Linked DNA regions of Xenopus tropicalis. The protein of the gene in region 1 purifies or fractionates together with the protein of each later gene. This does not show direct contact. Links are inferred from orthologs where the notes say so. Each region holds a gene or a part of one and is shown on either strand. Other genes may lie near its edges.

Region 1 (4,455 bases):
GAGTTGGGGGGGAATGAAAGCCTGCAATCAGCCCAGGTATCTCAGGAGGGTACCCACGTAACAGCAGCATGTTCAGGGACCTGACCACTTTGCAGGTATTCTGCAAGTACCCATCCTGATGCAGGACTCTAGTTTGTAGACCCATTAAAAATGATAGATAAAATCCAAAATCAATGTATTTTTTAATAAATAAGCAAAATTCAAGTTTGATAAAATAGAGTTTATTCAGATTTTTAAAAATCTAGAAATCACAAATTTAAAAACCAATACAACCAGAACAACATAAAAATCCAGGAACAACTGAACCTAACAAAAACTGAACTAAAGATCTTTCCACCTAAGCCTGGTCCTACCCCCCCCCCCTTTTCTATCTCTATTAATGGCACCCTCATCAACCCTGTCGATTCGGCGCATTGTTTGGGGGAGATCTTTGACTCCAGTCTCTCCTTTTCTGACCACATTAACTCCACTGTCAAAACCTGTCACTTTTTCTTACGCAATATTGCCAAAATCCGTCCCTTTCTCTCTACTGCAACAGCTAGGCTGCTCATGCATGCTCTCATCCTATCCCGACTGGACTACTGTAATCTGCTACTAACCGGCCTCCCTAACTCCCATCTTTCCCCCCTACAGTCTATATTAAATACTGCTGCTAGAATTCTCCTCCTCTCATCCAGTAGAGTTCAGGCCCTTCCCCTGCTAAAGTCCTTATCGTGGCTTCCCATTAAACAAAGAATATCTTACAAACTCCTTCTCTTAACCTTCAAAGCCCTCCATTCCTCTGCTCCTCACTACATCTCTTCCCTTGTGTCTCCGTACGTTCCTGGCCGACTCCTTCGTTCCTCGCAGAGCAATTGTTTGGTTGCACCCCCCACTACTACTGCTGTTTCCCGCCTTAAACCTTTCTGCCTTGCTGCCCCTTACATTTGGAATGCCCTCCCTGATTTCCTCCGGAGAGAATCCTCCCCCAGTCTTTTTAAAACTAAACTTAAAGACTACCTTTTGGAGCACTTGCCCAGCACCTGACCAGGGAACTAGCACTTACATTGTAATGTCACCCACTGTGACCTACAGCACTTATATTTGCCTATTTGTGTCTGTAAGTTACCCTCCCATCTAGATTGTAAGCTCTATGGGGCAGGGACCTCCATCCTCTTGTGTCTTTGACTCTTAACTTATTGCAACTGTATCTTGTATTTATTTGTATTTATTGTTATACTTTGTATTTATCTATTATCTTATTAACCCTCTGTTTGTATTAATGTATTCTACTGTACAGCGCTGCGTACATAAGTAGCACTTTATAAATAAAAAATATACATACATACATACATACAACAACTGCTATTCTAGTATCAACAAAGAGTTATTTCCCACAAGGCAAAATAGAGACAACTAAAGAAATCTTTTCACCCTCATTTAATTAAAAAGATGATGCAAAGGAATTTTTATTCAAATTTTAAGACTGAGTTGCCACATACATCTGTTTTTGGAAGAAATGCTACCTAAAACGCAATAAAAACTATAATGTTAGGTGGTGGAGGAGGAATAATGGTCTGGGGTGGCTGTTCATGGTTTAGGTTAGGGCCATAAATAACGTAAAATCAACCATAATGCTTTAGCAAACAATAGTATATATGTATATGTATATATGTAACAATAGTGTTGAAAATTCTGTGCATCCTTATTTTGTTAACACAGTTTGAAAAAGGTCTTTCCTCTTTCAACATGATACCCCTATGCCAAGTGGAGAAGCACCTAACTGGCCTGCACAGATACCAAACCTTAACCACACTAATAATGAAGTGAAACACTGACAAGTTGTGCTTGATCACACAACACTAGTGCCCAACCTCATTAATGCTGAAAGCAGAACCCACCATCATTGTTTCAGCATCTAATCAATAGAGGCTTCTATACAGAGAAGGGAACTGCTGCTTCATACTGGTATCTGTAAAGTACTGGACAGCCAAACGTGACAATTTTTTCATGCAATACAATTTTGTACATGTAAATATGCAAATAAGAATTTGGATTCAATTTAGCATTTGGCCAAATCTATTTTGCAGCTCATATGAAATCACTGTAATTTAAACATCACAAATGCCAATGGATTCTAGCAATTTGCTAGTTAGGCTGCAGGATTTTTTTTTTTTACATGTTTTTCTTTTTACACCAGCAACATTCACCCAACTCTACACATGCAGGTTATGCCACAACTCCCATGATTCCTCTCTGTGTAATGTACACTTGACAAGTCGGTCTGACATATAATACATATCTATATAATTTACAGAAAAAGGCCAATACGTGTGTGTGTTATGGAAGGTCTTCTTCTTGAAAGATGTGCGCTTAAGAGTGCAATTACAAAACTCAACATCACAGCAGAAATTAAAACAAACATCCTAGACTTTTAAGGATATTAACATTCCTGTGACTGCAAAGAAATAAATGTAATGAATGCAAATAAACGTCATTATCCTAAACACATTCTAAGGGCCAAATACTTAATAAACCTCACAGGGGTGCAAGCTTTACGGCAGTACACATCTTTAGTTATACTTATCGCGATGAGGGGAGATCAGCTATAAATATGCCCACACATAATACAAGTAGAATCTCTTCCGTTACCTTCTTCGGCGGTCTCCATCTTGTCCGGCCTGTGACGCAGGTTCCGTGTCCCAAGCTCGTTTCCAGTTGAACTCCACCCCCGTCTCCAGACCCGTACAGGCCCAGCAACTACATCGAACGTGCAGAAACCCCTCCTCCAGCAACCAAAGGAAACAAGAATCGCTATTGGTCCTCAGACCTCACAAGAGAACCGAGTAAGTGACGTTACGTAAATATGCCTGCTGAAGGAGGAGGTGCGCAAGTGACGACCGCGGAGCTAGACTTGTAGGGCTGTTTAACAAAAGTATTAATTAAATATTTTGCAGAAGAGGGGTGATATTTGTCATTTTCTACGTATAAAAGGAGGAAATAGTGGCTGCTATGGCTGGTTGTGTTTTTATGCGGTACGTGACATTTAGGGGATGTATTTACATTAGTATATTAAAGGAGACATTGGATAAATGGGGAAAAACCCTAGTTTTGTAGGCAATTATAAATAATATAATGTGCTGGTTTCACTTTGTCCTAAAAATTAATCCTATCTGTAACAATGGCCCCTTTATTGGAGCTCCCTATAGATCCTATCACTTCTCTGTAAAGTGTGAAATGAAGAGTGGGCGTGTCCTAATGGTCCCTGCCAGAAGCACAGTAGGAGGGGGAGAGCCAATCACAGCCCTGCACTCACACAAGCAAAGACAGGCTTCAGTTCCCTATCAGGTCAGCCTAGCTGCTGATTGGTTCCTATCCTACAGTGCAGTGTAAGGAGGGCCCCCAGCTCATCCAGAGAATTCAGCCAGCAGAAAGTGGGACAGATAGGCGGGACTAGTGGGGTTTTGGTGGAATTTCTCAATAAATCAGTCAGAAACACAACGTTTTAAGCACAATCTTTCTATATTTAGAGGAGTATAATTCACTGGTACATTCATAATTTGTATATGATATGTCTCCTTTAAACCTTTCAGTGTTTACGCACTTTTTTTGCATTATGCCCATTTTTATTTTGCCGCCTATGTGATAAGTTTCATAAGTTTACCTTAAGTCACAAAAAGCTTGCTTTCACACCATACTTTCCTTCTCCTTCTGTAACCCACTCTGCCCCCCCCTCAGGAATTTACTTTGATTTCTGCTCAGTTGTTCTAAACTCAGATTACTAAACACGCCCTCCAGTCTAGCAGCCAGTAAAGAGATGGCATTGCTGGTTCCCATAGAAATTCAGCTCTAGCTGTCTGCTTCAATTTTTTTCTCCTGAGCTCAGCTTTACCATTAAGGTGGCCACACACGTGGCAATTTTCGATCTTTCGTGCGACCACCGGTCACACGAAAGATCGTTCCAATCAGCCACTAACGTTCAGGGCTGAAACGGCAGATGGAGGTAGAAACAAGGATTTCTACCTCCTTCTGCCGATTCAGCTCTGAAGGCAGATTTTGCTCAGGCGCCTTCTAGGGCGCCTGCTCAAAATTTTTTAACTCACCCGATCGGTGAGTCGACCAATATCAGCAGCCTCCTGCGATATCGGTCGCCTCGCCGACTTGCCATACATGCACCGAATATCATACGAAACGAGGTTTTGTACGATATTATCGGTGCGTGTATGGCCAGCTTTACAGTGCTCAAACAAAGCAGAACTTTTTTCAAAGACAGTTGTGCTTGTTTGAGCCTGTATTCTTGATGAAATATACAGTGGCTTGCAAAAGTATTCGGCCCCCTTGAACTTTTCCACATTTTGTCACATTACAGCCACAAACATGAATCAATTTTATTGGAATTCCATGTGAAAGACCAATACAAAGTGGTGTACACGTGAGAAGTGGAATGAAAATCATACATGATTCCAAAGATTTTTT
Region 2 (2,421 bases), on another chromosome or scaffold:
AGTTGAGAAATTGCCTCCTGGCTCCTGTTTTTTGCATCACCGATTCTAGTCAAAGCTTGCTGATAAGCACGCTTGCGAGCTTTAGTAGAAAGGGAACCCAATCTGACATAGTAGCTGGGCAGTTTTCCAGATTCAAATCCCTCAGATTTTGTTGCTTCTATAGCTAAAGACATTGAGTACAATAATGTGTTAATGTTTCATATGGGTCACTTCTGTTTTGAATTTAAGCTGGTTATAAAGTTAACTGGTCCAAGTTGATCCAGGGACTGGTCAGATTTTTATCTGAGTCAAGGATGAATTTTTCCCCCCTCTGTGGCAAATTTGATCCAGAGGAAGGCCAAAAAAAAAACAAAAAAAAAAAAAAACCCCTTCTATAGCCTCTCTAGCAGTTAGGCAGGTAATTTACGGTTATTAACAAGCATACTTGCCTGTATCATTACTAGTTTAGGTACATAGGCATAATACAGAAGTGACTGCATCAGGGAGACTCAAGTAGGCTGGTAGTTAGATTGCTTATTGGTTTTATGACCAGTATGTGCATTAAAGTTAAACATTGTTTATTAAGTTAACAAATGCAAAGAAAGCTTTTATAGACACCTAATGCCACAATTGTGTCACTAACACGGTGCTTAGAAGAACAAAAACTGGTTAAATATGCAGTAACAAAATGATTTGGTGTAGTTCTAGGTCAAACACAAGTTGGGGGAAGAGAGAAGGAAGAAATAAGCAGTCTGTACTAATTTGTTTCCCGGTTTACTACTCTGCCATTCAAGCGGGAAAAGTCTTGCATTTCCATTTCATCTTCTTCCAAAGCATCTGGATTTTCATCAATTTCTGATGATAGGTCAGTGATGCTGAAATCAGGAACCTAATCAAAAGTGAAAAGAGATTTATTTAGTTTCTAACCAGTAGTTAGATGTGGAGCAATATAAAGTACGACAGAACAAAGATTGTTTAATTATACCATGTAATTGAATTTTATATTAATAACTAAATACTAAGCCACTTTGTGTCCTCTTAGAAACCTGTACCCTATTATGGACACTTATCAGGTTGTTAATGGTTTTGGAGGATAGTTTGAGATGTTTACAAACCCAAGCTGGTAGTAAAAAAAAAAAAAAAAAAATCATGTTAGACCAGGAGGCACTTAAAGCTACTGTTCATATTGTAGCTATTGCTTGGAAGAAATTCATTGCCTGTAGACAGTTTTGTCTATTCAGCCCAAGCCATTTAACTCACCAATAACTGGTGTCTGTGCAGTTAGAACTAAAACCCATAGGAAGCATGAAACATGAACAGTTTCATGATAGAGTTACGCATATGTCCTAACAATAACAATATTGGCAAGTTTAATGCTGCATTAGCACTGGTAGTCCATATTCAAGGTCTTGGAATCTAAGGGCCTAAGCTCAATTTCTTCCTGAATTGTCAACCCCCATAAGCTGCTGGCAAACTAGTTGAGTTCACACAAAATATATCTGAATCTATTTTAGCCTGTTGTGTGCCATTACAAAAAGGAAGCTAGCTAATGTTGTAAAGACATTTTGATCTGATGTATTAGAGTGCACAGAGAGCAGGAAGCTTTTGTCTACAGAGGCTCTTCATACATGCATACATGTTCATGCTCAGTGACAATTATAGCATTCATATATTGGACTGAAAATGGATTAACTCACAACACAATCCGTGCTGGCAAATTAGATTAATCTGGTAACCTCAGTTTAAAGGAATTTACTCGAAGATTAATAAACTCCTGGTGTATAGGTCACAAGACTCCCTTCAGAGTTAAGAAATGGTAATGAGGGGGACTTTTGCATTTTGTGAAAGGGATATCTTAGATAATGGCTGCTATTTATAAACAGCATTAGCTTCACAAATGCTTTAAACAGTGTATTGTATGAAACGGTTATATCACCAAGCCATTTTAATTTTTTTTTTTTGAATGCAAGAGAAGCTCAATCCCACCACTAGTTTGTTGGTACCACCATTATGTTTGGTATTTATCAGAGGAAAACACGCTAGAGACACTTAATGCTTAATTATTTATTGCAAATACAAAAATATACAAAAAGGCTCATAAGACTGGTACAGTGAGGTGTCTACTGTGAAACTCCACTTTGCATTAAATAATTGTGAAAAAAGTGGTAGTATGTTATTGGCAGACTAATCAAAACATTGTGAATGGGCTAATGCAGTATTAACCTTGTGCCTCAATAAAATTAAGCTTTAAACACAGGGTACCAAAAGTGTTAGTATAAGCCTTACTGGAGTTTGAGCAGTGCTTTAACCAACAATATACATTACAGTTCATCTGTGAATAAAAAGTGCAGATTGTGGCTTAAAGACTTAAATGTAGTCAAGTCAGTCTTTAATCTTTGTTGGTTTTCTCTGTCTCATCCCCTTCTTGCTCACCATGTGGAC
Region 3 (3,470 bases), about 74 Mb from region 1:
CCATTATTTGGGTGACATAAAACCAAGCAGTTTGTATGTATGTGGGGTGTGCTGAAAAGAGCAATTTGCCCCATTTGGAAGAATTCATATGTTGGAAATATAAGCCAAAGCCTACCATTGTTTACTAGCATGTGTCCTTACTTATTGATATCGTAAATAGTACACTTGCTAGGAGCTTTTCAAAGGGTTAGTTTGCCTTGATCTTAACTTTCAGTATGGTGTAGAAAAAGCTATTCTAGACAAGTTGGAATGGGTTTTAAAAAATGGTTTTACGTGTTCTCTTTTTGAAATATATAGTTATAACTCTTCTAGTCTGGAATTTCAGAAACAATCTAGTTTCTAGGTCTTGTAGGGGTGTCCAGAGCTTGGAAGATGAATATGAGAGGACCTGAATAGAAAGATTATAGTAATAAAAGGTAACTATTGAACTGCAGTCTTATGGAGCAATAGTGTTTTGGTCTGCCAGGGTCAATGACCCTTATTTGAATGCTAGAATACAGGCAGAAGAGAAATGATTCTATAATTATAGAACACGAAGATCAAAATTGCTCAGAATAGACCATACTAAAAGTTCATTTAAAGATAAACTACCCCTTCAAATAAGTCAGGTAGGCAAGTTAGAAGTGGAGCAATACAATGGCCCAGTGGTTAGCATTCATCTTAAGCTCTGAAGTCCTTTGTTCAGTTCTGACCAGGGCACAGTCTGCATGGTTTTGGTGTTCTCTCATATTTTAAAGGCCTTGCGCCTATGTTTGTCAGTTATTTTTGATACAATTAAATATCTGACTGGCAGTAGCAGCAACACAAAGTGACAGCAGAGAGTGCGGTTCTGTACAATAAGTGCCCAGTTAAGGTGACTTTAGAATGTGACCTTCCAACCCAAATATTTTTGTTGTATAGTTTCTCTTACAGAGTCCAAAGGAAAAACATGAGATAACTGAGAGTGTGTAGGCACACTGTGTCCCAAGCAAAAGTGTTAAGGTCCAATGTGTTCTGAAAGACAAGTAGAGTAGTGCCGAGTTCCCAGACCAGTAGAGTAGGCCAGTGCCGAGTTCCCAGACCAGTAGAGTAGGCCAGTGCCGAGTTCCCGGCCACGTAGAGTAGGCCAGTGCAGAGTTCCCGGCCACGTAGAGTAGGCCAGTGCCGAGTTCCCAGACCAGTAGAGTAGGCCAGTGCCGAGTTCCCAGACCAGTAGAGTAGGCCAGTGCCGAGTTCCCGGCCAAGTAGAGTAGGCCAGTGCCGAGTTTCCGGCCAAGTAGAGTATGCTGTGTGTGCTTTGACCATCTGCTATGAGCAGTCCAATGGGCAATCCCCTTCACCAGAGTCAGTAGAATTAATTGGTTGTAGATCAGCTCCATGATTCTATGACTCCATCTGGGTATGCCCAGTAAAGATATAAGGATGTCGGTCAGATATTTGTAGCCTGAATTTATTTAGTAGGGGGAGTCTGGGAAATTTACAGGGGATGCTATTGCAGGTAAAGCTAGCCCCAAATGTTCCTTTCATTGTTATTAAGGATGCTGGCAGCCCTTACAAGAGCAGCTTTTGAATAAAAGCAGATAAATAGTGGGAATGGGAATATGTTTCGATACTGATACCGCCCAAAGTCTTATCAACACAAATGCACCAAAGATTTTCTTCTTAGTCCCATATTGCAAGTAGACCACTTTGATTAATTACCATTAGTAACTGCAAATGCTGTACTTCGTAATAATTCTTCTTGTCACGATTAAACACTATGAACCATTGGAATAGCGTGAATAGCATTTATCTGTCAGGTCACCGGTGAGGATGAAGCTGACTAATTGCACCATTGGGTTCCATGTAGCAGATTTAGCATGAATCCTGCATGTTCGGTATCTCACAGTAGCGTCGGTGGCTTCAGTAAACCAAATACTTCATCTCAGAGTATATAAGCGGGAATATCACAGAGCAGGCACGGTACAGTACGGCAGTGCTTTTGAACAAGGCTCTGGGCTTGGTCAACCAGGGCTCGTTCTTGAAGCAGAAGTAGACGGCGTAAAATGCCACCGCAAAGAAATGGCCAATGAGCAGCAGAGGTTTGGGAGACACCCTGCAGGGAAGAAATAAAAAGATTGGTACACGTGAAGATTAACGTTCCTTTCCTTCCTTAACACTGGGCAATATTTTGAAGCTGTCTATTGTTTAATAGTGTTAAGGTGCCCATACACCTTCAGATCCGCTCGCTTGGCGATGTCGCCAAGTGAGCGGATCTTCTCCAGATATCCCCCACCTACGGGTGAGCGATACCAAGAGAATCCAGGCTAATTCAAGGAAATTATAACGATGGTATAGGCAAAGTCGGTTCGGGGACCGCATCATCAAGCCGATGCGGTACCCGATCCGACTAGATTTTTTAACCAGCCCGATCGATATCTGGCCGATTTCAGGCCAGATATCGGTCGGGCAGGCCCGTCGGTAGTGCCCATACATGGGCCGTGTTTGGGCACCTTTAGATCTGCTATGTGCAGTCACTTCCAGGTCCTTCTTCCCTTAGGAAACATAGCACAGTGCTGTCAAGGGACTCTCTGAGGGGCATATGAGTTGATATGAAATGAAGGCTAAATCATTAAGAGTAGATGTTTCATTACCCAGTCCTCTCCAAGTGGACACCTGCTACAGCTCAGCATTTCCGCCCCCTACCCACAGTATTGTATAAGAGTAACTATAGTTGTGTCACATGATATAATCCTGATTGTAGTCCCACAATAACCCATTTCATATCCTCCATTATATCTCAAATGGTTTATGTTGCTGAATATTTACGTACACAGACAAGAGTGCAACAGGACCATCGACACACTCTCCTCCAAGCTTGAAGTAGTTGAAGCAGGCTCTTCTCAGCTGGTACAAGGAATCTGTGTAGATAATGTGTTATTAGTACACAAACTCTTTAGCAAGGCTACAACCATCAACTCAAAAGATTGTTGTGGAACATAATAACCCCTATATAGACAATACGTACCATCTGTAGCAGCAAACAGCTCATACAGTGCCTGGGCTAGCACGTTGACCACAAAAGAATGGGACTTCTTCCTGGACCAGTAAAATACCTTCTTGGCCTGTGAATAATATGAGTATGAGTGAGGCACAAATAATCATGAGTGAAGTTAGTATATATTTTAAATGGGTGGCATATGTTGCAGTTTACTGGGAGTTTTTCATCCCTTAAATGCTATAAATCTGAGCTCTATGTTGTTGTACATAGCTGTATAGATGGATAGCAATGCATACTCTACTTAACAATACTCTAGCAGAGTAAGGGTGGTTCTACATTGTTAGGTGTGGGTAGGTGGCATAGTACAAGTTGCACATCACAAGCTAAGTCTACAATACAAAGAGAATGCCATCTCGAAATGTCTAGATACAACATCATACTCAATGCAAAACAAGTAGTACTTGCTCCTTTATGATCAACTGTCCAATAAATATTCCGTAAATGTGTCTAA

The links.
Region 2: the proteins of marchf6 (region 1) and plin2 purify together in Homo sapiens (affinity purification with western blotting; 3 studies listed by BioGRID). This does not show direct contact. The link is inferred for Xenopus tropicalis from reciprocal best matches to the Homo sapiens genes MARCHF6 and PLIN2.
Region 3: the proteins of marchf6 (region 1) and sqle purify together in Homo sapiens (affinity purification with western blotting; 4 studies listed by BioGRID and IntAct, with this or other methods). This does not show direct contact. The link is inferred for Xenopus tropicalis from reciprocal best matches to the Homo sapiens genes MARCHF6 and SQLE.

What each region holds. Positions count from the first base shown.
Region 1 is NC_030682.2:69,863,691-69,868,145, reverse strand, and holds the start of marchf6 (E3 ubiquitin-protein ligase MARCH6), read right to left. Parts: upstream 2,808-4,455; 5' UTR 2,651-2,807; coding exon 2,632-2,650; intron 1-2,631. UniProt on the Homo sapiens protein: Endoplasmic reticulum membrane-associated E3 ubiquitin ligase that plays a critical role in mitigating endoplasmic reticulum stress, the regulation of cholesterol and lipid homeostasis, and ferroptosis.
Region 2 is NC_030677.2:119,024,506-119,026,926, reverse strand, and holds the end of plin2 (perilipin-2), read right to left. Parts: coding exon of another isoform or gene 2,369-2,421; exon of another isoform or gene 2,029-2,368; intron 869-2,028; coding exon 737-868; 3' UTR 508-736; downstream 1-507. UniProt on the Homo sapiens protein: Structural component of lipid droplets, which is required for the formation and maintenance of lipid storage droplets.
Region 3 is NC_030682.2:143,391,744-143,395,213, forward strand, and holds the end of sqle (squalene monooxygenase), read right to left. Parts: intron 3,084-3,470; coding exon 2,987-3,083; intron 2,880-2,986; coding exon 2,792-2,879; intron 2,075-2,791; coding exon 1,882-2,074; 3' UTR 661-1,881; downstream 1-660. UniProt on the Homo sapiens protein: Catalyzes the stereospecific oxidation of squalene to (S)-2,3-epoxysqualene, and is considered to be a rate-limiting enzyme in steroid biosynthesis.